Linked DNA regions of Caenorhabditis elegans. The protein of the gene in region 1 purifies or fractionates together with the protein of each later gene. This does not show direct contact. Each region holds a gene or a part of one and is shown in the gene's direction. Other genes may lie near its edges. The genes, in order: C18B2.4, ZC443.2, tbca-1 and acs-11.

The links.
Region 2: the proteins of C18B2.4 (region 1) and ZC443.2 fractionate together in Caenorhabditis elegans (co-fractionation; one large-scale study listed by BioGRID). This does not show direct contact.
Region 3: the proteins of C18B2.4 (region 1) and tbca-1 fractionate together in Caenorhabditis elegans (co-fractionation; one large-scale study listed by BioGRID). This does not show direct contact.
Region 4: the proteins of C18B2.4 (region 1) and acs-11 fractionate together in Caenorhabditis elegans (co-fractionation; one large-scale study listed by BioGRID). This does not show direct contact.

What each region holds. Positions count from the first base shown.
Region 1 is NC_003284.9:3,601,176-3,608,752, reverse strand, and holds C18B2.4 (GRAM domain-containing protein), read left to right. Parts: upstream 1-3,011; 5' UTR 3,012-3,018; coding exon 3,019-3,080; intron 3,081-3,149; coding exon 3,150-3,252; intron 3,253-3,372; coding exon 3,373-3,486; intron 3,487-3,536; coding exon 3,537-3,654; intron 3,655-3,702; coding exon 3,703-3,864; intron 3,865-3,911; coding exon 3,912-4,243; 3' UTR 4,244-4,462; downstream 4,463-7,577. Other genes in the region: C18B2.5 (G domain-containing protein), read left to right, coding at 159-241, 297-520, 577-739, 786-1,121, 1,773-1,874; C18B2.3 (uncharacterized protein), read right to left, coding at 4,606-4,627, 4,673-4,776, 5,327-5,545, 5,622-5,691, 5,734-5,836, 6,319-6,425, 6,828-6,913.
Region 2 is NC_003283.11:12,807,346-12,814,371, reverse strand, and holds ZC443.2 (uncharacterized protein), read left to right. Parts: upstream 1-3,179; 5' UTR 3,180-3,213; coding exon 3,214-3,513; intron 3,514-3,632; exon of another isoform or gene 3,633-3,759; coding exon 3,760-4,020; 3' UTR 4,021-4,160; downstream 4,161-7,026. Other genes in the region: ZC443.3 (Glutamic acid-rich protein-like), read left to right, coding at 252-578, 693-806, 872-1,495, 1,622-1,780; ZC443.1 (NADP-dependent oxidoreductase domain-containing protein), read left to right, coding at 4,314-4,388, 4,783-5,232, 5,346-5,567, 5,617-5,789, 5,837-5,879; ZC443.7 (Serpentine Receptor, class BC (Class B-like)), read right to left, coding at 6,095-6,154, 6,651-6,839, 6,893-7,026.
Region 3 is NC_003279.8:2,308,583-2,315,001, forward strand, and holds tbca-1 (Tubulin-specific chaperone A), read left to right. Parts: upstream 1-3,913; 5' UTR 3,914-3,927; coding exon 3,928-4,116; intron 4,117-4,167; coding exon 4,168-4,314; 3' UTR 4,315-4,375; downstream 4,376-6,419. Other genes in the region: Y39G10AR.9 (WD_REPEATS_REGION domain-containing protein), read left to right, coding at 13-200; 5-cytosine rRNA methyltransferase nsun-4, read left to right, coding at 395-627, 935-1,094, 1,144-1,665, 2,272-2,474, 2,517-2,592, 3,260-3,463; eif-2gamma (protein-synthesizing GTPase), read left to right, coding at 4,729-4,738, 4,793-4,881, 4,926-5,131, 5,189-5,579, 6,414-6,419.
Region 4 is NC_003280.10:4,738,506-4,747,757, forward strand, and holds acs-11 (fatty Acid CoA Synthetase family), read left to right. Parts: upstream 1-3,631; 5' UTR 3,632-3,633; coding exon 3,634-3,744; intron 3,745-3,798; coding exon 3,799-3,897; intron 3,898-3,953; coding exon 3,954-4,205; intron 4,206-4,685; coding exon 4,686-5,639; intron 5,640-6,531; coding exon 6,532-6,633; 3' UTR 6,634-6,775; downstream 6,776-9,252. Other genes in the region: Serine carboxypeptidase ctsa-1.1, read left to right, coding at 1-344, 679-818, 871-1,207; eas-1 (putative Golgi transport protein 1), read left to right, coding at 1,942-1,972, 2,020-2,111, 2,157-2,259, 2,308-2,383, 2,536-2,617, 2,665-2,706.

The sequences.
Region 1 (7,577 bases):
ATTATTTAAAAGAAAAAAAACCATGCACCTGCAAAAATGTGTGGCAGTTTTCAATTTTCTGTTTGTTCAATTTTCTGAGTACAATCAACGTTTTCTGTGCGAACTTCTATGTAAAACATATTATTTAAATTTTCTATTGCGTATATCGAATATTTAAGAGAGCGTGGACTCAAGCATCTACGAAGAGGAGGAAGCTCGTGTCAGCCCACTAGCTGCTAAACAAAAGGCAGCAGGAGAACATGTAAGTCATTTATTTTTCATATGAAAATTATTTTAATATTCTTAAAAATTATTAGATTGCAAGCAGCGGAAAATACGAGCTCGTTGTTCCACAATACTATGTTGTTGAAAACTTCTCCAAGAATGACAAGATCAACAAGGTTATCATTGGAGGAGATGCTCCACCAAGTGACGATGACAAGACTCTGCTCCTGTTCGGTCCAGTTAATTCTGGAAAGACTTCTGCTATTACCAGCATGATGAACTATTTGTATGATGTTAAGAAGGAGAATGATTTCCGGTAACTTAATTTTTTAATTTTCAATGTTATAATGTTCATTATTCTTCTTTTTTCAGATTTGTTTTGGACGAGCATGTGAACGCAACCACTGGACTCACCGCCTACGTTTTCAACAACACTGTTCTTCCTTATAACGTCACTGTTGTTGACACACCCGGGGTTGAGGACAAAATGGGCAACAAGACGGTCTCGCGACTTATCAAGCAGTGGTTTGAGAAGGTGAACTATTGAAACTTTGCAAAAAATTCTAAATTTCACGTTTTAGGAGCTTCTCAAATCTGGATCCTTCCGTCTTGATGCAATCTCAATTGTTTTGAGACACGACGAGAATCAACTGGGATGGCCGTTCATTTATGAGTTGGCTGATGTTAAGAGAATGTTCGGAGACGATTTGAAAACAAACGTTCTGCCGATTATCACCAACTCTGAAGTTCTCCCACAGCCAATTGCCATCAAAAGTCTCACACAGGCCAACATTTCTTTCCTTGAATACTACAAAGTTAACAACTCGGGATTCGCACCACTCCCAACAGGAATTTCCAAACTTCAACATAATCTCTACTGGACACACGGAACAGCTTCGTTGGAGAATCTTTTCAGAGTAAATATTATGGGTTGGGGAAGTGAAATTTAAAACTGAAAATACTAGGTGTCTCAGTCTGCGTATTTAACTCGGTTTAGTTGAAAATAACTGAAAATAGTACACTTTATTTGAAAAGTAATTTTGGCTTTCAAAAATCATCTTTCAAAAATCATCACATGAAAGCAAAGAACATAAGTATAAATTGAGGCGTCTCAAGATTATTTTTCAACCCGTCCGGGATCAAATTCAATTCAAACTTATATTGAAAAACGTATGCAGAAAAAACTGTATCTGATGAAACTTTAACATATTTTGAACTCCAACTTCAGCATAATTTTAATTTATTTCATATGTATGGGAAGGCTTTCAAATATTCAAAATAGAAAACTTTCCATGAAAACTATTCCGGTTTTTATAGTAATTATGACATAAAATTTTTCAAATGTGCTTATGAACATTTAAATAATTTTTTTAAACATATTTATATATTTTTGTTTTCGGTTTAGTTCTAAGCTTTTTTCATATCAAGTTTTTAACTCATATTAACTCACTTTTCAAAATTGTATTAATAATGTTCGAATGTGAGAGATGATATTAATTTTTGCGGTTTTGATAGGTCAGCTTATTATCTATGCTTCTGAAACTACCTTATTAAATCTTTCACTTCAGGATTTGCAAGAAACTGTCCACCCACTAGTTGCCATCCTCCGACACAACAAGGGACAAAAAGTCGAACAAGCTCCAGTGTTTGCTGATAAAGTGTTGTATTAAAAAACAATTTATTATTATTAGTATTATTATTTGTGTTTTCTGATTCAATGGTTTCAATTTAATCTCCGATCCACTCATTTTGTATTTATTGTTCGACTTAACATTTTTATCCAACGCGACTCGATAAACATTCCCTATCAATCGTTTTTTTTGTTTTTCAGCTTCATTTCTTTTCGCTAAGGAACTAATATAATTTTTGGCAGAATAATATTGTTCATTGATATTTAAATCAAAAATACAAATAATATTATAGGAAATTCTAGAAATTTCGACATATCAGTTAAGAGGAACGCTATTACAAGTGTCAAGTTTTACAAATATGATTACCTAGTGTATAAAACGAATTTCAGGAAATTTTAATTTTCAAAGTGTACAGAGAAAGCCTAGATTGATAGATACTATCACTTTCAAAAGTTCCTTAAAATTCAAAGCAAATGATGATACTCATTTTAAAGTGAATTAAAATTGTGAACATAACATTCGAACTTTTTGGAGCTTAGGCCGGATAATAATGTGTTGAACTATACAGAAACAAAAAAGAAACATTTGAATACTTTGGAGTACATCTACTTTAAAAACCAGAAAAGTTTCAAATGAATTCACCAAATTTTTAAGAGTCTTTCAAATTAACATAATAAATGTTCTCTTATTTATTTATTTTAACTTTCACCACAAATTGTTCAACAAATTAATACAACTACTTGTTTTTTTTCCAGAAATGTTTAAATACACGACCAAAATCGACTCAAAATTTTCCAAAAGTAGCTCGTTGCCTAATTACCTTTATTTCCCGGCAATTCTGCCCTTATAATAATAAACCTTCATATTCATGATTAATGGCATCGATACTCCCCTCTCTATCTAATGGCAAACACTATTTGTCTTTCGCCACTCACCACTCACTAGAGAGCCATGACTTGTGAGAGACGCAGAAAACAAGGCAATGGAAAACGCGCTCCATTGCGGGTCTCGGGGTCGTGAGTCAGTGTTGGCTACCCTCGCCGTATGAAAACGTTGCCATCACGCCATTCCATGCCGTTTTTCGTCGATTTCGTGTATTTCGCAATTCCCGATCTGCTCATTAATTCCATTTTCCTCCTTAAAAAGCAGTATTTTTGATTTTTTTTTGTTCTTCAGCAGCACCATGTCGCTCAACACGTCGCACACACCCGATGGCCAAGGCATTTTGATTTATAATGGAGAAATGTAAGTTTTTTAAATTCTTTCTCAAAACTGATTCTTTTCAAATTATGAAATAAGTTTTTATAATTTCAGGATTCTTCTCTACACAACAAATGTAAAGCTGAAGTTCGAGAAGTACAATGTTCCTGCGTTCAAGTCCACCAAGTCGGGAGCCCTCTATCTCACTTCACACAGAGTGAGTTTTAAAGTTTTTGAGTTGCAAATTTTCATTTCTGGATAGGTTTTTTTTTTCATTTTAGCTGAAAACCAAAACGTTTGATCCTAAATTTCAAATATTTCAACTTTATTTTTTCAGATAATTTTCATGAACGAGAGCAAGAAAGATGAGTTCAAATCCTTCGCGATGCCATTCAATTCAGTGCGAGATGTGAAACTTGAACAGCCACTTCTCACCCCAAACTATCTCAAGGTTTTTTTTTCAATCTTAAATGACTTGCAGTCACATTTTTAATTTTTCAGGGATGGGTTCAACCAATGCCTGGAGGCAACTTTGATGGATGTCCGGAATGGCGTTTGTCTTTCCCGAAAGGAGGATGCATCGAGTTTGGAGAGGCACTTCTTCGCGCTGCTGACATGGGTACGATTGTCTTGAATAGTTCCCATCAATGTTTTGGTTCTGTTTCAGCATCTAGAGCTCGTCCATTTGCTGCTCCACCAGCATATGGTGGAAATATGCAACAGCAATCAGGCACTACGTACTATGCTGCTCCACCGACATACTACTTGGTGCAAGGGACATACCAAGGATTCCAAGCTCCGACGAACGTTTTTCCTGAGCGCCCACCTGGTAAGATTTATGACGTAGTAATTTCTTCGAAACAAATTGTTTTCCAGCACAAAACGTCTACGTTTACGACATGCCTCCACCATACCCAGGAATCGGACAAACCACGCCGTATCCTGCCGGACAATTCCAGCCAGTCGGAACCGTCCAGTACCAGAATGTTGGGGCGTACCCTGGACAACCTCAACAGCCAGGACAATACCATCCTTATCCAACTAATCAACCACCGCAGGGAGGATTCAACGTCGGACAAGGAGCTGCTCCTCATCCTTCTACTCTTCCAGATTATAACAATATTCAACAACAATCTAGCGCTCAGCCACCAGCCTACAATGCTTACCAAGAAGCTCCACCACTTCCATCCAAAAATGGACCGTTGTAAAGTTTTAATTTATCCGCTTAAAGCTTATGAGCTTGTATTTTTCAAAAGTTCGTGGCTTTTCGACTCTTCAATCCAATGATTCCCGTCCTCGCTTTGTCCGTCTCCCCGCATGTTTATATACAACGGTGATGTTTAATTTACTGAATGAATGTAATTATTTTGATTTTATTGGAATATCAATTAAAGTATAAAACAAGAAAAAAAAGAATAACTGAACCGAGCTGCTCATCGCACTTTGTTAAACACCAAACAAAATGCGAAAACGGCGTCAAGAAGTCGTGTAGAAAGAACATATCGTGAATGTTGAATCGCGATGGAAAAATGTTGAAGTCGATGAAATGGATCAGAAGGTTTTAGAAAATTTAATAAACGCGTCCTCCAAGTCTGAATTAAGAATAATTAATTTACCAAAAACTAAAACCTCAGTACCTGTCAAATCGGCTAGAGTAAGAGTAGTTTCCACGGCTGAGAGATGACGAGAGGTTGAGCTCCTTCTCGCGACGGGAAGCCCAAGTAGCTGGTGAAAGCCAGTACTAAAATAGATTGCACTTCATTTTATTAAAAAATAATACTTGTGCAGAGTGAGTATCCAGTTGTGAGGCTTTTAATAAACCCGAATTTTGGTTTTTTTTTAAATTGAGTTTTAAAAGATTATATCTAGGCTCAAGTGTGAGTAAGAAATAAATGAGTATATACAAAACTCTAGAAAACTGGATAATACATATTTTTAGTTCAGCCAGTAATCAATTTTTGAATAATACAAAAGACAAATATGTATCGCCAAAACTAATCAAATTAATGAAAAAGAAATATTAATTTGTAATTCACTTAAAGCATGTTTTTCAATACTCCTATTGAATGAATATTGCCATCAAGCTTTATTTTTAATTTTCTAGAAACTGCAAAATACATTTTCAACTGACTGAGGATAAAAAACCGAATTATATTTTTCTTCAAAATTCAATGACTCTATGGATTTCTTAATTTATGCGGTGCCTACAAGAAACTGCTAAGATATTTAATAAACTCGAAAATGCAAGACTAATGGAGAAAATACAACAGTAGTCTAAAAAATTGCGTTACCTTCGACAACGTTCCAACTGTCATACATCTCTTCTTGTACATATCCAAGGCGTCATCAACTGGCATATATCGGACGTAGCTTCTTGCTGATGCTAGTGGTCTCTCAACACGTTTTTGGTAGTCGGGACGGGTGAAAAGAGAGGTGTTATAGGCATTGAGCTTTCCCTCCAGCCAACGCTTAGTTCCAATATCACGAATTCCAGAGTGGTGGCCGTAGACCTGAAGATGAGTTTTTGAAATAATAGTGAGATTTGATACTGATTCTGTAAAAATTGGAACTACTTATAAAACTTACCGATTCCGATTGAGTCAAAATGCCGAGTCCGGTGTCAGTGTTTCCATAGCTGTATCGAACATATGGGTATCTGAAAATATAGCTTCATATTCATTATGTGCTGTAAACGTACTTGTCGGTGTAATGTGGGGTACTACGCTGAACTCCAACGCTGTGGAATGGTGGAGTTGTGGTGAGCGCCGATGCAGCGAGAGATCTTCCAAAGATAGATCCACCTGAAATTCAACAAGTTGTTTTTTTTTATTAGAACGTAGTTCTTGATATCGCTTTCTAAGAAAGTGTGTCTCTCTCTCTCTCTTGAAACTCGCGTGGGTGTAAATCGAGCAATGAGCAGCTGGCTCAGATAGAGTGAGAAAAGAGATGATAAAAATGAATTGCAATTCATTTTTTTTTCTCTTTATGAAAGTTTTCATACATATTGTGTCGCATTTTTGGCATTGATAATCACCAGATTGTGTGAAAACAAGACATCAAGAAAAAACTTTACTCGCGATGGCAACAACAACCCGACAAAAAGTGCATAGATTATCCAGAACCCTGGATGTGACAAAAAGTTGAATGAAGGACATGTACGTTATTGGGATAGGAGGAGATGAGTGTCAAACGGCTAGAACACAAAAGAAGAAGCCAATGACTCCGATGAAAATAACAAGCACGATGAAGCACGCGCTTTCAATCACATAAGAAGGTTGCCTACCGCATTTGTTGATTGAACGGGCCATATAGCCACCACCGTATCCATATTCGGGACGAGAGAACCGGTTGCTGGAGGTCGATCGGGTGACTCCGGAGAAAGAGTTGGATCTGGAACTTTTGATGGTGAAGGTTTTTACTATAAGATGACCAAATTGGTATTAGTGTTTTGAATCAACTTGTTTTCTAGTTGCATCTATGATTTTTTTATTAACAATTTCTTTTCCATCGTATTACTTTCAAAAATATAAAAGCTTGGTCTTGGCTAATCTTAGGTTTTTTTCTGTTTTTTTTTTCGATTCTGATCTATAGAAAATGTTCTCCCTCTTAATTGACGTTTTCACTATTACTAGAGTACAAAAATATTCATATGATTTTTAAGTGAACATTTTAATATCGAAGTTTAAAAACAAGACCTCTATCAACACTACACTATACTAGAAAGCAGCAACTTTTGACTTTTAGATAGCTTATCGGTAACCAATTTTAATTTGTGATCGTTGGTTCATTTACCTTCTCATTGCAGCTGAACGAACATCGCTTCTAGACCGTGTAAGTGGCGAGATATGGTGGAATGATGGAGATGTGAGCAATTCCATTTCGATCGTCTGCAAAAATGAAATAGCGGATGAGTTGTGTGGCAAGTAGCTAGGAAAAGAAAGATTGTGAAAAGAAACTGGCCAAACGTTTGGCATTTTTACACTCTCATCGAGTTGAAGGAAAACGACGGCAGCTAAAAAAATTGATCGTGTAGGATGGAGGAGAAGAAGAGGCGCTCGAAACATAAAGATCTAGCTGCTCGATGAGTGGGAGAGTTGTGGAAGGAAAAGAGTAAGAAAATGATGATACAATGGGAACCATACATCTCTACCTGGACGAAGATTTTTGATATGCAAATGTGAACGAACAAAGGAAGGGGAAAAAGGTGCCACATTGCATGAACAAAATACAAACAAAATTATTTTTCAAATTTGAATCCTTACAGGGAAAGTATTTCAGCTCAGTAGCTCAGATTTAAACTTTCGAAAACCGAAAAGAAAAAGTTATATGCTTCCTTTCATGTACTTATACTATTTTTTACGTGTTTAAGCTTTTTTTTAAATTTTCAATCGGAATAACTTGAACATTTTTTACTTATGTAATACAGCCATTCTTGCGATAAAATGATACTGCCAGTATTTATGAGAAAATAATTATTGTTGACTAAAAATGTTCGTTCACAATATGTTAAATTTTTTTTTCCAAAAAAAATCTGAAACTTCA
Region 2 (7,026 bases), on another chromosome or scaffold:
AAAAATCCTATTGATAAATTGCCGCTTCATCCAAATTGGTCACATGTTCCGCGAAAGAAACTTGGACTGTATTTTCATTTTTAATAGCTACTGGGATATCAGTTTTTCATATCATTTTTATATATTCTTCATCCAGAAAATCTAGTTTTTGAGTCATCAGAGATTATACTTCTGTAGATTATTCACCATTCCTAATTCATTTTTTATCTTTTCGAAGTTTGCAAAACCGGCGTTCATTAATACTTTCAGACATGGGATTATCGGGCGTTGTTGAAAACCTTCGTTCCCTTAAGAAAACTGTCAAGAAACCAATTGTGGCCTTCCGTGAGACTGTTCACAATGCATATACAAAAGCCTACGTGGGCTCTCCGGAAAGAGTTGATGAATTCTATAACTACATTAAAGTGTACACTCCGAGCAAACACAATGACCTTTGTATGATGAGCATTACTGCGGATATCAATCGATTTTCAATGATTCCCGATAAGAATACATTCTTCCATGTTCTCAAACTCGAGAGACATTTTGACCGGATGATTGCCACTCGCAAACAGCCGGATGTCACTGGGGATATGGCGGTGAGTGACATATCGGGGTAAATATACGGGACAAAACGAGTTATAAGAAAAAAGAAGCTAATGGAATAATATATTTGGTTCGTTCTTTGCAATAAACAAATATTTCCTTTTCAGATTCAAATCCTTTCCGGTCACAATACGACATTTATGAGCAAGTACCGTCGGTACAAAACAAGGTCAGCTGCAAAAGAACTAAAGAGAAGAAACCAGCGATTCAAGGCTCTGGACGTAAGTGCAAGTGAAAATGTGGAACATGTGGCAGTGTCTACTAACTTTTAACTCAAAACTTTCAGGTGAGACGACACACTCAACTGCCAGACTCTGGGAATGATGACTCTTGCATTTATACTAACCGAACTTCATTTGACGTTCCCACAATCAGTCTAGAAGAAGATAAATTAGATATAAAGGATGTGGTTGAATCGATGGCTAGCGATGAAATTCCAGTTGAAGAGAAAAATAAAGAATTGGAGGAATGTGAGCTTGTTCTGAACAAAATCAGATTAAACCGAACACTCCAAAAGATTGAAGAGCTGGAAAAGAAAAACGTGTCGGTTGTTTGTGAACTGACCAAACCAGAAACTGTTGTAGCCGCGCCTGTGCAAGTTGAAAATGTCATTATTTCATTGCCGGTTAAAGAAGATGATTCACTTGCCATATCTGCTGCAAAAGCTAATCTTATTCAAAAAAAGCATCAATCGAAAAGTAGTACAGAAAAGTCGATGATGTCTGTGACAAAGAAACACGAAGCAAAATTCAAAGTTGCTAAATCTGTAACTGTGAAAAAGGATAAAACTGAAAAATCTGAAAACCTTAAATCAGATGTTCCCGAAAAGACGAATGAAGTTACAATTGCAGCATCTCTTTTAGAAGATGTTATGGAGCAACTGAACTTGGATGACAAGAAGAACACAAAAGTAAGTTCTAGCTTAAAGTTTGATTTGTGCAAAATAATAATAAATAAAATGGTTCTCTCGTTATTTCTAATTAATTGTTGGGAAGCAAATTGTTCACTCGTAAAGTTTCAACAAAACTATTTTTAGGCTGCGTCACAATCGAAAATTGTGGACGATGCGAGTGATTCCGATAGTCATGAAGAATTCGACAAATGTGATCAGGATTCAGACGATGGAAGTGACATTGAAGAGTTGGAGAAAATCGAGGACAAGGACGTTGATGCTCTAGAATATGAAATGCTATAGGTGCCAAGTATCTTGCTTTTCTGCCAACGGGTACTTGTGCACTCTGTAACGTGTTTCTTGCTTCAAATTTCTCATTAACATTCTTCCGAATTTTTTCATTTTCAAAATTGTTCAATAATGCCAAAGAACCGTTTGTTTTTCTTTAGTTATTAAATTGAACAAACTGTAACTAAATGTTTTTAACATTCTTATTTGTACATAGAAATGTAACTTCTCTAATTGTTTCATATGTATTCATGTTTCAAGTATTCATTTTTCCTCAACTCCTTATATGAATTTTTGTATAAAATGTAAAAACATCCGGATTTTTCACAATTACCATCCCACCACTGCATAATAATTCTAGATGCCTGCTTGCGCATCATGGCGTCAACAAAACAAAAATGCGTTGTTGTGTTATTTGTTGACAATGACCGGTTTGTAGTAGTGATGGCAGTGGGTGCCACTGCTTTAAGCTTTTCCTTCAAGAGAAAGTGAGTAGACAGGAAAAAAAAGTGAGAAAAATAATAATAGGCTTGATTGAAATTTCTTGTCTGTTCTCATTTTCTTGCGCATGGGTAATGCGTGATACTGAAGCTCGTTAGCATTGTAGAAAACCGAAGAGGGACTTCAAGCTTGAAAGAGGGAAAGTTTTGAAGAGGTGGAAAAATGTGAAAATTGATATAGAAAATCATGAGTTCACGGTGTCAAGTTTCCAATAGAAGGTACAAATAATAGAGCAAGACCAGCACTAAATTTCAGGATAAACACTTTGTTAAAATCTCGCATATTCTAGCTTTAACTAAGTTCAACTAAAAATAGTATTGTTGAGTTTAATTTTAAAATATTTTCGCAAGTTGCGTCCTTGTGGAAGGCTTACTGTACGTATTATGAAGGTACCCACTAGGATGATCCAGTACGGAAGTAAGTCGTAAAGATTTTACCAAACGATTTTTCATAAAGTACGAATTTTTCATAAAGTCTTGTAATTCATAATCGAGGTCACATTGTTGTGGGAAAACCATGCGCTTCACCCACTGACCACCTGATTTCAATAAAAGCTTCTAATATTTCTCTTATCATTTGCTCCAAGCACTCTAGCAGAGCATCATGACGTGTTGTTTTGTTCAATTCTTTTTCTGCATCCTTTACAAAATCAAATCAAAAACAAGCGGGGAAGTGTACGGGGGGTGTGTGCAAATTATAACTCACAAGATGCTTGAGGTGGTCCACTCGTTGCCTCCTTGTTTGTATGTGTGTAGTGTTCCTCATCCTATTTCTCGTTCTCTTTCATTTTGTCTGCTTCTCTACAGCTTTTGTCCATTTATTCTTTTGCATACGATTGGCTTTTCATTTACTTTTTGCATACTTACTACATTTATCCATCTCTTTCATAATAATAACAATAATAATATTTCCAGGGACACTTCCTAACTAACCTGCTTATCTTCAAAATGTTCGAAAAAGTAATCAAACTATGGAGAGATACATTCCCAAAATCGGAGCACAAATTGATGTCAATTGAGTATGTCGCTGCGATTGAAGAATTCAATGAGTATTTCCCTGGATATGCTGCAATGAATGATAGTAACTATTCAAAACTTCAGCATTTCTTCCGTTCTCTTCACCCAATTGGATGTATTAAACCTTTCCGATTTCATTATTCATCGGCATTTGCATTGGAAAACTCATTAGATGACTATCTTCTAAAAAATGCTCAATTCAAAAGAGACGGCTTAGCTGGAGAATGGGCGGTGAGTTTCTAGAATTGTTTTAAATAAAGATGTCAAAATCTTGAACACGTTTGGCATTATTGTCTTAAATTTGAAATTAAATTCCAGTCTGAAAATTTTGAAAGTTTGGTTGGCATATATCAAATGTAGGTTTATTTTGTTAAAATGTACAATGAACTCACAAAAACATCAAATTAACTTTTTAATCCTGTTAGGAAACAACATACACCAAATTCTCTACAATTGAAAAAAAAATCGAATTTTTAGATTCACATCTTTGCCGACCACAACGACCATATTATTGAAAAATACCGAATGTACAAGAAGAAACGACTTGAGAAACTGGAACGAACTTTTGAGGAAAGAAAAAAGAAAGCAGAGAGAATGAATCAAAAGCATGAATATCGCTTGATGTGGTATTTAGGGAAGGAAGGATATTACAAATACACCAATTCACGACTGGAGAAGATGGAAAAAGACCGAGAAATTAGAAATAAAAATGGAAAGGAAATGGAACAAGTCACCTAAACTTCTGGTACTTAAAAATGTATTTTGTGTTCTTCCAAGTCGTCATTATTCGTCTACTTCTACCCATTTGACATAATCTTTTCCTCATCATTCCCCTCGTCCATGTTGTTAATTTCAATAAAACGAAGTACAAATTGGAACAGCGCAAACTATTTTCTTTATATATTAAGAGAAACACACACACAGACCACAAATTCAAGGTCTTTCTTCCAGTTTTAATTCGATAATTAGGATTGCGGTTTGTGTATAAATATGAAGTACCCCCAACTATACAAACTTTATTTTCCTTCGAAATGTCATCAAAAGTTCCAATCTTCACTCTGTCTAATGGAGTTCTCATGCCAAGTATTGGTCTTGGTACCTGGCAGGTAACATTTAAAATTAGTTTGAAGTTTAGAATAAATTAACTACCATTAGCAAGGATTTATTCAACACTTGGTTGTAATGTTACTTGAAATTGCCAGTTTTTGTACATTGATATAATTTTTAGGAATTTTATTAAAGTTTCGGATAGCTGTACCCAACAAATTTCAATAATTCAGACAAAAAATGTTTTATCGGAAATATTTAGAAGCAGAGAAGCAAACTAGAAAATAATTTTTTCGCTCAAAAATCTGTATGAGCCAAAGAAAAGAGTCCACTCTATAATTTCTCAAGAATTTGTTGTATTGGTTCAGTTGTTTACAAAATTTTGATATTTTTCGAAACTTAAAAAACAATTGGCGTCACTCTTTAAAAATCATCATTTTCTCTACTTAATAGATGACGGGAGAAGAAGGAAAAACAGTTATCCGAAATGCAGTTCTTGCCGGATATCGTCACATCGACACAGCTACTCTTTATCAAAATGAGCATCAAATTGGAGACGCTTTAGCTGAATTGTTTGCCGAAGGGATTTTAAAACGTGAAGATATTTTTATAACAACTAAAGCGTTCTGTCATGAAGTTGCGCCTGATGTTGTAGAAGAAGCATTGAGAAACTCACTGAAAAGACTTCGTTTGGATTATGTTGATTTGTATCTTGCACATATTCCCGCATCAACCAAAGACGATGGATCGTTTCGTTCTGATGTAAAAGTTGAAGATATTTGGAGAGGGTTCGAGAAAGTGTATGGTTTGGGATTGACAAAAGCAATTGGTGTTTCAAACTTCAATGAAAGTCAGATTGTCCGAATTATGAATATCCAAAAAGTTCCTATTCACGCTTCTCAGGTGACCTGCTTTCTGTTTTTTTATAATTTCTATGAGTTAAAAAATATCAAAAACAACATAACTCTGATGAAATTTTTTTGACAATCTTCATATATTTGCATCAAATTTTTCAGCTTGAGCTTCATCTCTATTTGCCTCAAAAAGCTCACAGAGAGCTATGCAAAAAACACAACATCCTCATAACAGCCTATGCGACGTTAGGCTCTCCTGGAAGAATGTCTGTCGTTGGTTCAAATGGTAGACCTTTGTTTGAAAGCACTCAAAATTCTGAAAATGAAATGAACGACAAACATGTGAAGGCGCTCGCACAGAAATACAGTAAAACTCCAGCTCAGGTAAATTTTCAAATAATCTGTTTACAATTTTGTGCCGGATTATTTTCAGATTCTTCTCCGGGCTACAGTTGAAATGGGAATTATAGTTATTCCAAAAACTACGAATCCTGAAAGAATGAAAGAAAACATCAACATTTTTGATTTCAACATTTCAAATGCTGAAGTAAATCTCCTAGAAGCGCACGAGAGAACAAAACAGGAAAGACTTTTCTGGTGGCCAAAGTATTTTTTTTTAAGCAACAAAAATGATACTGAACACTATTTTTCAGCGTTGCTGATCATCCTGAAGATCCATTCGCGACACAGAGATAACAAATGTCCAAAAGAAATATAAATACAAATTCTACTTTTGTTTTGAACCAAAATAAACAATTTTCGATCTGTTCAAAATATTTTATCCTTGGAAATAAGGCACTAATTGGAAACAGGAATTGTGCTGCTACCATAATTTTGAATGCTGCTCGTATGTCTTATACAAACTACTTTTTTCATCGGGACAACTTTTGCACGGTGCAATTGAATGGATACTACAATTGATTCAATCGCTCTGCCAAACATTTTGGAGCAGCATCGTATGGTCCCATTTCCTGAAATTTTTAAATGGCTCTCAATTTGGATGTTCTCATAACATATCAAATTTGTTCGTTTCGGTATAAAGAGTTATGATACTCTAGTTTGATTATACGATTTTTTTTTAACGTGCGAATGCACTTGCGTGGATTCGATGTATGATGGTTCAAACTATGGGAAAAACTTAAAATACAAAAATCATTAAAAAAAATCATATGTAAGTTTGTGTAACATGCAAACGTTTCAAACTTGCCAAAATTTAAAAAAAAAACCTTGTACGTTTTAAACGCGTACCTACTTACCGACACAAGGTAAAACTCTCAAAAGGTTTATTTTTAAAAAAAATTTCGTTTCTAAACGGACTTTTGATAAATGCATTTTTAATAATCCAAAATAATCGAATACAAAAATAAAAGACTGTCGTGTTTAACATTTCTCTCACTGACACAAACCATCATTGTGTCGAATTTGAACGTTTTTTTTAATTGAAAAGATTCAGTTAATGCGACCCACCTCATATATAAAAATCGTTCTGGATGCAATGAAAGATGATGAAAAATCAAACAAAAGTACAATTACTGTATCAATCAATGCTAATTTGTTAACTCTCGAGAGCTTTTCGTGACGAACTTTTACCATGTCAAATATAAAAAATTTCATGCAAAATGCAATTGAGACAGCTCCAGTACACCCGTACATGATCTACAATTTTCATATGCCAAAATTATTTCACTTTTCATATATTTAAAACTTACAGTTTTGTTCATTGAATAATATTTCAAGAAACAAGTGTTAATCTGAGATGTGAAGATTACACAAGACAGATTTGGAATAAAAGTATAATCACAAACTACATACAAAATGAAATTATCAATCAATGCAAATGATG
Region 3 (6,419 bases), on another chromosome or scaffold:
ATTAATTTTCAGCCACCGGAAATGTTCTCGCCTTTCCGATCCTTTCCCTTCCCACCTCGTCAAGCATCATCTCCGCCGAGTACGAGCTAACCGGTGCCGATTGTGAGCCGGTGTACGATATGGCGATTTATCAGAAGAATATTTATACATGTTGTCGTGATGGCAAAATTCGAACTTACAAGGCGCAATGGAGCTTGTAATTGAGTATTATTATATATTTCTTATGTTTAACTATTATTGAACTACATATTTTTGAATATAAATCTGTGATTAACCGGTAGAAATCCCAATTTATTTTGTTTTTAATTTGGTCCTAAAACCTTTTATTTCATCAGTTTTACCAATTTTCCCTTTTTTTTTCTAAAATTACTTGAATAAGTAAATTTAATTCAGAATGAGCTGTCTGCGACAATCCTCACAATCGTTCTATTTCACTCAAATTAGATGGAAAACTGTCAAGTTCAAGACAAAAATCGCAAAAACGAAGCCACTGAAAACGCCATCAGCCCAGGCGCTGGATCATTTTGATTTTTATTATGGCCCACTTTTTGGAAAGAAATGGCCAAGTATTCGGCTGGGCCTTCTGTCTCCGAATCGATATTTAGCAGTTATGAATACAATGAGCAGGTTCGGAAATCTGAAATTCCCGTGGAAATTGCCAAAAATTTTAATTTATGATTTTCTTATGTCAATTTTTAAGAATATTTTGATTTTATTTGCTAAATATTGCTCAAAATTTGTCCTGAAATTTGAAATTCCCGTTGAACTTCTCGAAAAATTCAAATTTATACCAAATTCTCTGCGAGACCCAGCTGTCAAAGTGTATGTACCTTTAAACTTGTGTCGATTTACGCAAGGATGATTTTTTGATTTTTTAAGGAAAATATGCTTTTATTTCAAATGTTTCTCAAAATTTTAACCGAAAACCTTACAGAAACTGGCAAGCTCACGATGAAATTCTCTCTGACATGGGCGCCAAGGATTTGCTTGCCTCAATTCGTGGAAAAGCCGAGGACCAAGCGATTGAGACAAAACGGAAAAGCGTTGAGGAAAAAGCGAATCGGGAGACTCAAAAGGTTAAGCATGAGATTTCAGTAAGTTTCCTACTGATCTTGCTGCTTAAAAATCGAATTATAATTTCAGAATCCCTCAACTTCGACCAATACTGAAGATTCTGAGCCGGATGAAGCGATTTTTCGATCTGCTGCAGGGCTCGGCGAGTTCCGGGCGAGCGCTGGAGAGCTCTCGTCTGGAAGTCTGCAGATGGGATTAGGACAATCTAATCAAAATAAAAATGTAGAAATCACCGGATTTGAAGGAGAAGGCGTTCGAATCCCGAAAAGAGATCACTTTTTCTATTATCCACAGGCCCTCCACGTCCGCTCATTCGATAGAGCTGTCCTTCTAGACTTCCCGGCTCCGATGAAAGATGAAGTCGGAGTTCCGAGTTACTGGCTTCTAGACGGTGGCTCACTGCTCCCAGTTTTGGCTTTGGGCCTTCAAAAAGACGATTCCCTGTTGGATATGTGTGCGGCTCCCGGTGGAAAAAGTCTTCTAGCGGCTCTGTCGAATTTGCCTTCGAAAATCGTTTGTAATGATTTCAAATTGGCCAGGCTTGGGCAGCTGAAGCGTGCGCTTATGACATATGTGCCAGAGGATAGCGAGGTGCAATATCAGTTTTTGTAAAAAAAACAAAAAAGTCAAATTTTTCTGAAAAAAAAATTGATTTTTTGACAAATTTGGAGAAATTGCCGATTTTTTTCGCAAAAAAATTCTTTAAAATTCGGAATTTTTTTAAAATTTAAAATCCGAAAATTCACCAAAAAATGGCTCAAAAATTTCCAAAATTTTCGAATATTTGCTTAAATTACTAGAATTTTCTCGAAATTTCACTTAACTTTTTTCCATAGTTTGAAATCTTCTTTAAAAAAACCAACATTTGAAATTTTCACTCGATTTTCTAGAATTTACTTGAAAAAATGACGATTTTCGTTAAAAACACCTGAAAATTCATTCAGAAATGTGAATTTTTCTCAAGATTTAAATTTCGAATTTTTCCAATTTAAACACCTCAAAAATTGGGTTTTCAGTGAGAAAATTGAATTAAATACGAATTATTTCAACTTTTTTCTGCTCTTTTGAGGAAAATCAGAAAATAAAACAATTTTTTGAAATTAGAGTTTTTTTTTTCGATTAAAAAATGTCGAAAATTCTTTTTTTTAAATATAAATCCCTCCAAAATTAGCTAAAACTCCAAAAATTTTCCTGCAGACAATCGACAAATTCGTCCTAAAACGCAAGGACGCGTCCGACGTCAAAACTTGGGATGAATTCGAGGCCTACGATAAAGTGCTCGTCGATGTTCCGTGCTCGACGGATCGTCTATCAGTCAGCACCGACGACGGAAACCTTTTCAGCACAGGATCCACTCAGCAGAGGCTTGATCTTCCGGTTCTTCAGACCAAGATTCTTGTGTAAGGATCCTCGGCTTTCCCTCAAATTATTTTTCCTTTCAGAAATGCACTGCGATCTGTAAAAGTTGGTGGCTCGGTTGTCTACTCGACGTGCACACTCTCACCAAGCCAAAACGAGGTTTTCGCTCGAACCTGGTCTTGGCACGACAAATTTTTTTGTTAAATAGGAAAATATATGCGCCTTTAAGGAGTACTGTAGTTCCAAATTTTTTGTTGCATCGATTTTTGAAAAACTCCTTGAAAAATGATGACAAATATAGTTTTTTCTCGATTTGTAAAAAATTCGAAAATTGATGAAAAATCGATGAAAATTTTACAAAAAACGTGAAAAACTCAATTTTTCAAAACAATATTCGGCTATTTTCCAATTTTAGTTTAAAAAAAATCGCATTCTGCATTTTTTTTTGCGCTCCCTGCCGTGTTTGCGTATTTTCACCGCTACAGTACCCCGAAATGCTCAAATTTTGCTCTGATAGTTTCACAAAAGTTTAAAATGTGAAGAAATCGTTTCTTTTAACACTATAAATCTCGAATTTTCACTAAACAGTTGAGAAAATCAAATCAAAATTTCAAATTTTGACGATTTCCGTTTAAAAATTTGATTCTGGCTTCAACTCTCGCCCGATCCCAACATTTTCCCTCAAAAAAAATCCCGAAATTCTGCATGCATTTTTTCGTAGGATCCGGTGATTGCGTACTTTCGCGGCTACAGTACTTCTGGCGTGTCGAGACCGGGGTTTTTTGTCGAAATAACAGCTCAAAAATGCTAATTCAAATTTCTTCAGGCAGTCGTCGAGAACGCTGTAGCCGTCGTACGCAATGACTTTGGAATCGTGACCGTCGAGGAATCCCTACATCAACTCGTATCCCATATGACGTCATCAGGCCTCTATCGTTTCCATGACACTCCACTGGGAGCCCTCGTCGTGCCGTTTCTACCCTCTAACTTTGGACCAATGTATATTTGCAAACTGACCAGATTGCAATAGATTTTTAATATTTGATGAATTTTTTTAAATTTCTAGATTTTGCTATTTTTTGTTTGTTTTTTTTAAATCTGAATTTTTAAATTTATGTCTTGTTTTAAAATTTTATTATTTATGCAGTACCCCCATGGGTGCATCTGCCGTTCCATCAGTACCTAATTTCAAATTCATAGAATTTTTCATTGATCCTTCTTGTTCGTTCTCTATGTATGTATTGCGAAATCATTTGAACAGTCGATTTTTTGGCGGGAACCTGTGTCGCCCAACAGACAGCGGTCAATTTGTATTTATTTCGAAATCGCCGAGCGTGTCTGACCATCTGCTCGCTTTCCCGTCCTTTTTCGGCTCATTGAGCACAACATTTTCGGTGGTATTGCGCCTTTTTCTATCGATTTTTAGTCCATAAAAGCAAGCTCACAATCTCGTTCTCTGTTTCAAAAATTCACATTGCAGAACCTCCCGCCGCCATGTCGACCCAAGCCGATCAGCTGAAAGCGCTCCGAATCAAGACGGGAACCGTGCAACGTCTCGTCAAAGAAGTCGCCTATTACGAGAAGCAAGTTGTGAAGGAGGAGCAGAAGGCTGCCCAACTCGCCGCCGACGCCACCAACGAGGACGAGGAGTATGTTGCCAAGAAGTCGAAGGATATTGTTAAGGTTTTTTGAAATAATCCGATTTACGAGTATACGAAATTAAAATATTTTCAGGAAACTGCCAACATGGTCCGCGATTCTCAATCACGTCTCCAAAAAGCTGTGGCCGACCTCCGTGAATCGATTGCTTCTGGGAATTATCCGGAGGAAGCCGCAGAATTCGTCAATGCGAAGACGCTTGTGGACTCCATTTCTGCTTAATTTATGATACTCTTTTGTTATTTTGGGATTTTCGGTGATTTATGATGAATAATTATTGCATTTTACTTGAATACATGGTTTATAATGCCGTATAAATAATTTTAAGAAGCAATTTCGCTAATATTTCCATACGAAAAATATACAGATGTCCGTTAATTCAACGATTTTTGCCTGGTTCGCGCTAAAAAGCAAAACATAAAATTCGAGCTCGTAAATCGACACACGAAATCGCATCGAGACCCTTCCAACCACTCCCATGCGCCTTTAACCCATTTCTAATTTTATCCAATTTTAGCCTGTTTTCTATGCAATCTTTATGGATTTTCAATTAATTTTGAGTAATTTCGATTAATTATAATGATAATTTTTTAAAGATCAATAATCGACTCAACTGGGATCATAAAAACAAAAAATATGGCTTCTGGTAAGTGTTAGCTTTTCGGTTTCAAGAAAATTTCATAATTCTTTCTTAATTTAGAAGCTGAAAAGGACAAGTGCCAGAGCTGGCTTGCGAAACAAGATTTGGACAAAGTCGGAGTCGATAATTTGAACCCACTCACCGAGGAGGTACTGAAAATCAATAATTTTTGAGTTAAAGAGTTATTTTTCAGGTTATCTCTCGACAAGCCACGATTAATATCGGAACTATTGGCCACGTAGCCCATGGAAAATCCACTCTGGTGAAAGCGTTCTCCGGTGTGCATACTGTCAAGTTCAAAAGAGAGTTGGAAAGAAATATTACTATCAAACTTGGATACGCTAATGCAAAGATCTACAGATGTTCTAACCAAGAGTGCCCAAGGCCAGGATGTTACAGGTTATAATATCTCCCTGAAATTTAATTTAAATAAATAATTTTTGAATTCTAATTCAGATCCGCCGGTTCATCAACACCCGATCGGTTCCCATGCGAGCGCGCCGGATGCGGTGGAGAATTCACCTGTGTTCGCCACGTCTCATTCGTCGATTGCCCAGGTCACGACATTCTTATGGCCACCATGTTGAACGGAGCCGCTGTCATGGACGCCGCGTTCTTGCTCGTCGCCGGAAACGAACCATGCCCACAGCCACAAACATCTGAACATCTCGCCGCCGTCGAGATTATGCAGCTGAATCATTTGATGATTCTTCAGAACAAGGTCGATATTATCAAGGAGTCGCAAGCCCGCGAAAATTACGAGCAAATCGCCGGATTTGTGCAAGGAACGGTCGCCGAGAATGCTCCAGTCATCCCGATTTCTGCGCAGCTTAAATATAATGTTGATGTAAGGATCTGAATCTGGATTTAAATATACCACGCTCTCCTCAAGTGTTCATAATTATTAGAGCGCGCTCGCGCGGCACCACACGAACTCCAGAATTCGCGGGAATTCGTTTCGCGGGGACAGCAGTTTTTGGCTATATTCGGCTTCTATGGAAATTATTTTTAATTTTTTTGATTTATAATATTGTTGAGAAGCACCATCCGAATTGAAAATGTGTAAAATTATGAAATCTGACCGAAAACTGAAGTTTTTACAGAGAGGAGTCACCACGGCTTTCTTTAAAATGTATCAGTACCGTCAGTTTTTCGAATTCAGAGTCGTAAAATATGTCATTTTGTAAGTCTGTTTCACGAAAATCCATGTTTGAAATTTTAATTTTTTAATTTCTAATATAAAAATATTCAAAAAATCAACAATTTTACGTTAGAATCTAATTTTTTCAAATTTTCAGTTTTTCATAAGAACAATTTTAAAATTTCAAACATGGATTTTTGTGAAACAGACTTTTCTCTACAAAATAACATATTCTACGACTCTGAAATCGAAAAACTGACTGTACTGATACATTTTAAAGAAAGCCGTGGTGACTCCTCTCTGTAAAACCTTCAGTTTTCGGTCAGATTTCATAATTTTACACATTTTCAATTCGGATGGTGCTTCTCAACAATATTATTAAACAAAAAATTAAAAATAATTTCCATAGAAGCCAAAAACAGCCGCCTAAAACTGCTGTCCCCGCGAATTCTGGAGTTCGTGAGGGGCCGCGCGAGCGCGCTCTAATAATTATGAACGCTTGAGGAGAGCGTGTATACTAGATTAATTGCGATTTTTCAGCTCGTT
Region 4 (9,252 bases), on another chromosome or scaffold:
ATGAGAAGCTTAACATTGATACCTCTGTCAGATTTGCTTATGGACACGGACTTATTGATGAGAAGATCTGGAATACTCTTGAGAGAGATTGCTGCAGAGGATGCATTGATTCATGTGATTTGACTCAAGTCACCGGACACTGTGCAACTCTCGTTGAGGACATCTTCCAATTCTTGTGGTTCGGAGGATTGAATCCATATGATTTGTACAGAGATTGTGATCCAAATCCATCAGTGAACAGCAAGAGAATGAAGCACATGTTGAGAGGAGTTGCTCCAGCAATGGCCCATTTTGATGAGCTCTTGAAAAATCAAACAAAGACTTCCCTTTATCAATTTTTGAAAGTATGTGGGGTAGCAGCAATGGGAAAATGTAAAAATATCATTGGAAAACTTTTCAGAAAATTTTTCAGTACTCAGTTTTCACCTAGTGTCACGGTAGGTGTCACGGTCATGAGATCATTATCAGCAGTTTTTTTTTTTGAAAACTTTGAAAATTGTTTTGTGAACGAAACCCTGCAAGGATTATATTCAAACAATTTTTTTGCCATCCAAGTAAAAAAAATTAAAATAGGAAAAAGGTTATAGAATTTTTTTTGGTCAAATTGCATATTTAAAACTTTTTTAATTTGATCAATAATTACCACCATAGCAGTCACTTCATATTTGTATCTTTCAGAACAAATCTCAATCCCAAAAGCCACTTAAGGCTGATGTTCCATGCCTCAACGATACTGAGATGCTCTCCTATATGAACAATCCAAAGGTTCGTAAGGCAATCCACATTCCATTCAATCTTGGAAAATGGGATATCTGCAGGTGAGCCTGAGCCAAAGAGCCCAAGCCCAGAGATCAAAACAAAAATTTTCAGTGACAAGGTGACTACTACCTACCAGAAGCAGTACACCGATATGACTCCATTCATCAAGAAGATCGTCAAGAACCACGTCAGAGTTCTTTTGTACTATGGAGATACTGATATGGCCTGCAACTTTATGATGGGACAGCAATTCTCTGATCAACTTGGACTTCGTAGAACACTTAAAAAGACTCCATGGAAGTATGATAGACAAATCGCCGGATTCAAGACACTTTTCGATGGGCTCAGTTTCATCACTATTCGCGGAGCTGGACATATGGCTCCACAATGGAGAGCTCCACAAATGTACTACGCCGTTCAACAGTTCCTGAATAATCATCCACTTTAAATTTGGAGAACAAATAATATTTTTATCTTCTTATTTATTTTTCAATCTATTGGTCAATTTTCCAAGTTTTGAATAATGAAATTTGATTTTTAAATTTTGTGATTTTCGAATACACTGAAATATTTTTCAGAAAGCTTCCAAATAACTGTAATCGGTTTACTCATATGACGTTTGGATTAAAATTTCAAGTAATTTCGATTAATAAAACTGATGTTCTACTTATTAATACGTTGTACCTTTGGAAATAGTCAATAAATAATTGGAAAGTCTTGTTTGTTCGAAAAAATATCGATTTGAAATCTCAAAAATGCCTTTTGTGGCACTTCCAACCAACATAGTTACTTTTTGTCCAATTTCTCAATAAAAATCGTATTAATTGAGCGAAAATACTACGAATTCAAAAGTTTACCATTCAAATTTAAATTTTCCTTTTTCCCGCCGATTTTCGCTACTTCGGCCATGTGCGAGTTTCTAGGCCACGCGGAAATGCACGGCGGCCACGTGGTCCGCAATTTTACGTACACGTCATTTCCGCGGAATTTCCAGTTTTATTTTCCGATTTTTCGCTTAAATTTTTCAATTCGAGATAAAATCAGTTTCATTTGCTAAAAAGAAACGCAAATTTATTTCAAAAAATCAATAATCTTCTTCTATTTGTTTTTCTATGACCGATTCTTTTGAGAATTTAATTTTTTTCAGCCGTTTAAAAGAGAAACCACTTGGGTCCAGTCAAAATGATGAATTTCGAAGTAAGCACAACAAAACGTAAGTTTGAAAATCAGAAAATATATGTAAACTGTGAAACATTTCAGAAATCGGAGTGGGGTTAACGACGTTCGGCTTCTTTTTCATATTTCTCGGAGTGCTGATGTTCCTTGATTCTGCTCTTTTAGCTATCGGAAATGTAAGTATTTATTGTAAATTTAAAGCATAAAATTATTATTTTCAGCTTCTATTCATTGTTGGAATCACATTTATTATCGGCGTGCAGCGAACACTTGTTTTCTTCTTCGAATTCCGAAAACTGAAAGGAAGCATTCTCTTCTTCGGAGGTTCGATCACAAGGAATTCATTATTTTAATTTAAAAATTTATTTTCAGGGATTTTGGTAGTTCTATTTGGGTACCCATTGTTCGGAATGATTGCCGAGTGTTGGGGATTTATTGTCCTTTTCGGGTGAGTTTTTGACTAAAAAATGTTGAGTTTTCTAAATATTTGCAATAGAATCAATATCTTGAATTTTCTGCTCTTTTTCTTCGATTTGTAACAAACATTTTGAACTAATCGCTCACGAAATTAAATTTAATCTAATAATAATGAATTTACAGTGGTTTCCTGCCTGGAATTGTCAATTTGCTCAGAAGTATCCCCGGAATCTCAACAATCACATATCTTCCTGGAATCCGACAGGTCAGTTCTAACGAATCAGGATTTTTATCAATTATTTCAAGTTTTAGGTCCTCGATCGCCTTGCTCCAGAATCCAAGTACCCCGTCTGAAAAGTTCAGGATCTTCCCAAAAATCTCACCAAAAATGGGTTCTATTTTCTTTTTTGTTGAAAATATTTTCTCCTGTGTTGTCCCTTCTCCTCTCATATCACGTTCGGTTCAACTACGATTTCGGCCAAAATGCACATTTTCTGTGTAATATTATTCAATTTTAATTTATTTATTATTAAAAATTTTAAATTTTATCTCATTTCTAAAATATCCCTCAGCCTTTGTTGTATAATACGCTTTCATTTTCTTCTGTTCCTAGGTGAAAAATGTGATTATAATTATTTATTAGATTCCCTTTTTTCCTTTTCTTGTGTTCTGACTCGATATCCATTACATGACTCATTTCGATCAAAAAAAATGATGTTCTATGCTTGTTCTTCAGATCAAACAAATCACGTTTTCACCACCAAAGAACTCATTTCGACGAAGGTTTCTTCTCCCTTCAACCTCTTATCTTTGTTGCCATTTTTAAGAATGACAAATCGAGAATACGAGACGCAGGGCCAACAACATCTCGTTATAAGAAACGGTCAACCCGATCAATTCACGATTTTAATTCAGTTTTCTACAGCTTCCTGTTTTCAAGCACTGCAGATTTGAAACAAAAACCTTGTTTTAAACTTAGAATCTACCTGAAAAGTCCGATAAAAACTGAAAAAGTTCTTACTCGTAGAAAAAATTATTTTTAAAAGAAAAAAAATGCAGAAATTGATGAAATAAGGTTAAAAACCAAATCAAGCATTTTTGAACATCATTTTGAAATAAAAAATTGAAAATTTACGGTATTGTGCATATTTTGTGCAATTAGAATGCGAAAACTTTGAAAAAAAACTTCCAAAGTTGAATTTTAAATAGAAGTTGCCTAATTTTCTTGAATTTTTCATTTTAAAGCATTGTTTCTATTACAGAAAATTAGATATTTCAGAAATGCTCAGTCGTCTAGTCAGCTCCGTCCATCCACAAATTGGGCTCCGTGCCGCTTCTTCTGCAGCCAACAATATTGTCAGTCAAGCTCAGCTTCAATCCGATCCTTCGAAGGTTGCTATTCAATATCCTTCTGAACGTTTTTTCCATAATTTTATAATTTTCCAGCTCCTCTTTATCGATGGCGATCGCAAAACGACTTATGGAGAATTTGTTAAACGAACTGGGCAATATGCAACTGCTCTGACTGAAAAGTACAATATAAAGGTCATTTTATCTTTAAAATTGTATAAATTCAACTTTTCAAATTCAAATTTTCTCAGAAAGGAGACCGTGTGATGGCTAGAGTATCAAAAACGACCGATACAGCTGCTCTCTACATTGCTTGTCTTCAAATCGGAGCACTCTATATTCCAGTCAATCCAGGATATACTGAATCTGAAGCTGCTCACTATATCAAGGATGCGACACCTTCGATTCTAGTCTCGTGCAATGAAGAATTGGATAAAGTTTTCAGAGATAAGATCAGGGTTATCAACGAGGATAAGTTGGCATCTGAAGCAGGAAGCTTGAATGTAAGCTGGAAAATATGAAAAATTTAATAATTTTCAAAAAAAAATTCAAAATTGAAAAAACCACAAATTCCTTGTGATGCTAATCAAGAAATATAGAAAAAAATATTAATTTTACTTTACAAATTCGTGAAAACTTGAGCCTCCAGTTTAAAGGGACACGATCTTCTTCTGCTTGGGTCTCGTCACGATCTCAGCCACCGTGCAGTATCTATTCTGAACGTTTTTAGAAAAAAAAATTAAAAACCAAAATTTTGACAAGAATATTAGGAAAATAGGAAAAGTGTTTGGAGTACAAAAGTGACTACTTTTTTTTGGATTTTTCGGTATCGAAATACCGATCAAACCAAAAAACGCCGTGATCGTGCCGAGACCCACCCGGAAAATATCGTGTGCCTTTAAACTGACATGTCAAAATTAAGTCAAAAGAAAACACAATATACATACTATCCATGCCCAATATTCAAATGCAACATTTTCCAGGCATGCACCATGATCGAACATGTCGAAAAATCGGATCCCGCATCAGTTTGCTACACTTCAGGAACCACCGGACTACCAAAAGGAGCAATCTTAACTCATGGATCATTGTCTAACAACGCACATGATATTGTCCGAGACTGGGGATTTACTGGAAATGATTATAATCTACATGCACTTCCATTCTATCATGTACATGGACTCTATTATTCCCTTCATTGCTCTTTATTCTCACATTCAACAATGATTTGGCGGTCGAAATTTGAAGTTGAAGATTGTATAAAATACATGAAAAATGCGACGGTTATGATGGGAGTACCAACATTCTTTTCAAGACTTTTGGCATCAAAGAATTTCAATAAAGAAGCATTCGGAAATGTTCGAGTATTCATTTCTGGATCTGCACCTCTATCAGTATCTACAATTGAAGAATTCAGGGAAAGAACTGGACAAGTGATTCTTGAAAGATATGGTATGACAGAAGCTGGAGTTATGACTACTAATCCATTGAATGGAGAGAGAAAAGCTGGAACTGTTGGCCCGGCTGTACAAGGAGTTGGATGTAGAATTGCAAAAAATGGAGGAATTGAAGTGAAGACAAATGCGATTTTCGCTGGATATTGGAAGAATCCAAAGAAGACAGCTGAAGAATTCACTGAAGATGGATGGTTTAAAACTGGAGATGTTGGACATCTTGATGAGGATGGTTATTTGACGATTGGTGGAAGATCAAAGGATATGGTTATTACTGGAGGATTAAATGTATATCCAAAAGAACTTGAAGATTTCATTGATACACTTCCATTTGTTAAAGAATCTGCAGTTATTGCATCTCCACATCCAGATTTTGGAGAAGCAGTTGTTGCAATTGTAGTCCCGTCGGAGAAGGTGACTGATGAGAAGGAGTTTGAGAAGAAGCTTATTGGAATTATGAAGAAGAAGGTTGCCAATTATAAGGCAAGTTTTTTTATTTAAAAAATAATCCGAAATTTCAAGATTTTTGCGCTAAAAATACGGTACCCGGACACGACAAATTTAAATGAAAAAGAGTGTGCGCCTTTAGAGTACTGTAATCTTGAAATTTCGTTGCATCGAATTTTTCATCGATTTTTTTTCATATTATGTCAAAATCTGTGCGTTTTTTTCAGTTCTATAATGAACGCATATTTTTATTCAAAAAATTATAGAAAATGGGTGAAAATTTCGCAGAAACAAAAATTTTAAGCTACAGTACTCTTCAAAGGCGCACACCTTTTTGTATTTGACAAAAAAAATTTCGCGTTTGGCTAATATTTTCTGCCATTTTTATTTTTTTGTTGTGAAACTAATCAATAAATGCAGAAAAACTTTAAAAAAATTGAATTCGTCTTGCTGTTTTCAATTTTCTTTTTCATTTTTTTTCTGTGTGCGCCAAGATTACTGTAATCTCAAATTTTCGTTAACGATGATTACTTACTTATTCAGTAAGTAATTTATTAATTAGAAGCACTAAAATAAAATTATGAAAAATCCCGCAGAAACTAAAGTTTTACGTTACAGTACTCTTTAAAGGCGCACAACTTTTTGCATTTAACAAAAATGTGTCATGTCGAGACCGGGTACCGTACTTTTGCGTCAAAAATCTCATAATAATCCCCTTAAAACTTTTTTTTTGAGTTTTCAAATTTCCATCGGACACCGCAATTCTCGTTCAGATATTTGTAATTTTTCAAGTTATAACAACCTGTTTTCAATCAACTTCTATAAAAAAAACATGTGATTTTTATAAATGTTTGATAACATACCTATTCTGCAAATAGGATACAAATATTAAAATCAAATTATCAAAGCTCAATGTCTAACATTTCAGGTTCCAAAGCGAGTGATTGTACTGGATGATTTGCCACGAAATCACATCACTAAGGTCCAGAAAAACGTTCTCCGTGACACCTACAAGAACCTCTTCGCCTAATTCCATTCCCAGTCAACAATACATCCCCAAAATATAGATATCATTTTTCTATTTTCAAATTGTAAATATTTCATAAGTATTGTAGAATCTTTTGTACAATTTTTCAACTTTTAACAGTAGAAAATAACAGTTGTTTATAGATATTTTTTGTTTCTATTGTTCTCCACACACTTTTAGGACGACGTTGTCCTCCTGACCCCGTAATCAGTCAGACTATTCTTAAGATGAGAGACATTTGATTATCAGATTAACATCAATGATATTATATATCTTGGCAACATCTTACGCGGTCAGTGTGTACCCGTTTTGGACATGTTGGAATCACGTGAAGCCCGTGAGAACTTTGGCTATAAAGAGAAGTGAAAAGACAAAAAGGAAGATAAAAAACGAAAGAGTATAGTGATTTATGACACAGATTTGCCCATGGTTTTTGCGAAACTCTTTGCCGAAACTCGATGTGTGATGTGCTAAATACTGTACTTCGAAATGCTTGTCAGCTTCCTTATGGTCTCACCACGAATTTTTTTGAATTGAAACTGCGGTGTGAGCCTTTAAAAAGTACAGTAACCACTTAGCCATTATTCCGCTTTTTTTGCAAATACATGCAAAATAAATCAATACCCAAGGAAGTCACAAAATTACGAGAGGTAGGTTACTGTACAACTTAAAGGCGCTTTCGAGAAGACCCAATTCGAAATGTTTTCATCGTGGCAGCAGCGGGTATCTTAATTTTGCAGAATTCTGAGATATCCTGTTAAAGGCGCACGGATTTATTCCGAGGCCCACCTGAACGAATCCGTGCGCATTTAAGTAGATATGTCTAGGTCCTACGAATATACAATAGCGTATTTCATGATTTTTACACGTCCAACATAAGCCTAAACCTAAAGAAAAGTAAGGAAATGTACCATTTTGCAAATTTTTCTATAAATTATAAATTTACTTTTAAGGCTCCCACTGCGGGCAAGTACGTCTTCAGGCGTGTCTACCTGTTCACATGCCTACTAGGTAGGCCCCGGGCAGGCGTCGTTCGCCTTGGAGGCTGGCAAAAATTGTCCTGAAAATAAACTTACAAATCTGGAATTGTTTAAAAAAACCATCCATAAGTTCCTCGAAGTAGTTCCCCATGCACCTAGTTTGAACCTGCTGGGATCAAAAATTCCGCTGTAAAATATCCAAACGGGAGCGTGAATGAATCATATACAATTCGTCAAACATCTCTCGGTCCAAAAAAGAAATACAAAGAAAGATCTATAACACTTGTTATTTCCCCCGAACAGTGGTTAGTCGCCACCACCCACGCGTAGGAATTTCTTCGAATTTGATAAGAGAGCTATTGAAAAAGAAAAAGGCGACTTTCAACTTTCAAAAATCAGAAAAATGTGACTTCGCCTTCAAAGTGATCATTTCAGAAGTATTTTCAATTGTAGAGAGTGTACATAAAATGGAGAGACATCATGGAGACCTGAAAGTTTTATAAATGGGAGGACGATGGACGGAGTGGTCGGACCTGGACGACGACACTAGCCATTGTTTTCTTCGTTTTAGTTTTTTTTTTCTGATAGCTGATAACTATTTTTTCTTTTTGTTCATATTTTTGAATGGGTCTTGCAGCGAAAAAAGTCCTTCGCTTATTTGAAATTTATTTTTGTTCTTGCTACTTTATCTTAACATTCCGAAGTGGGTGCACAAATGTATTCTACTTTCCCGACATTTGGGCAAAAATACGGTTCCCGGTCTCGACACGACAAAAAATGTAAAAATAAATATATTCTTATCGGGAATCTATCAAAAATTGATTAGTCTTCCAAAAAGCAAAATTACAGTACTCTTTATAGGCGCAAACCTCTTCGCAATAAAACAATTTGTCGTGGCGAGACCCGGTAATATAATTACATAATAAATTTTTGGGTCCTTAAGTACGCATTTTATAAAGTTGATAAATTATAGTTTAAACTTTTGCAGTTTGAAGCTTTGCTTTCACTCATTTTTCTTAAATTTTCTTACCTTATCAATTCCCCTTCTGCAACAATAAAGCTTCTGTAGAAGCCGTAAGGTGTCAAAGTGCATAAAGTGGATTCACGTGATTCATTCACGTGCCACATTCCGATACAGTAGTCAAGTGTGTGTCACGCCCCTTTTCCCGCGCCGCCCATCCGCGCATACAAATCTCCGCTGCCACACGCATTCATTCTCAATCAGATCATCTTTGATTCGCTGTCAATGGTTCTACGATGTCTGGCTCGATTATGGAGATCGTGTAGAAATGTTTAATCTAGAAGTTGGCAAAAAATAATGAAAAATTATTGCTTTTTGATTTTGTTAATAAAGAAGCAATAAACTATAGTTTTATTCTTCTTTTTGTTGTTTTCCCGTTATAAGACTAACCAATGAAATTCCAGATTCTAACCTTGCTTAATTAATTGAGGCAAAAAAAGTGCAGTCTGCAAACATCCCTACCTCGTGTGAAGGCGCAAGGCAGGCGTTTTGGCGCCTACTTGGAAGCCCGAGATTTAACTGATTTTAGTAGATAGACAATCTTTCGTAAATGCATCAGTTTTCATTGGAATTTAACCGCGTTGGCACACCTTGTATGCAGGCGTAGGTCGCTAGGCACGC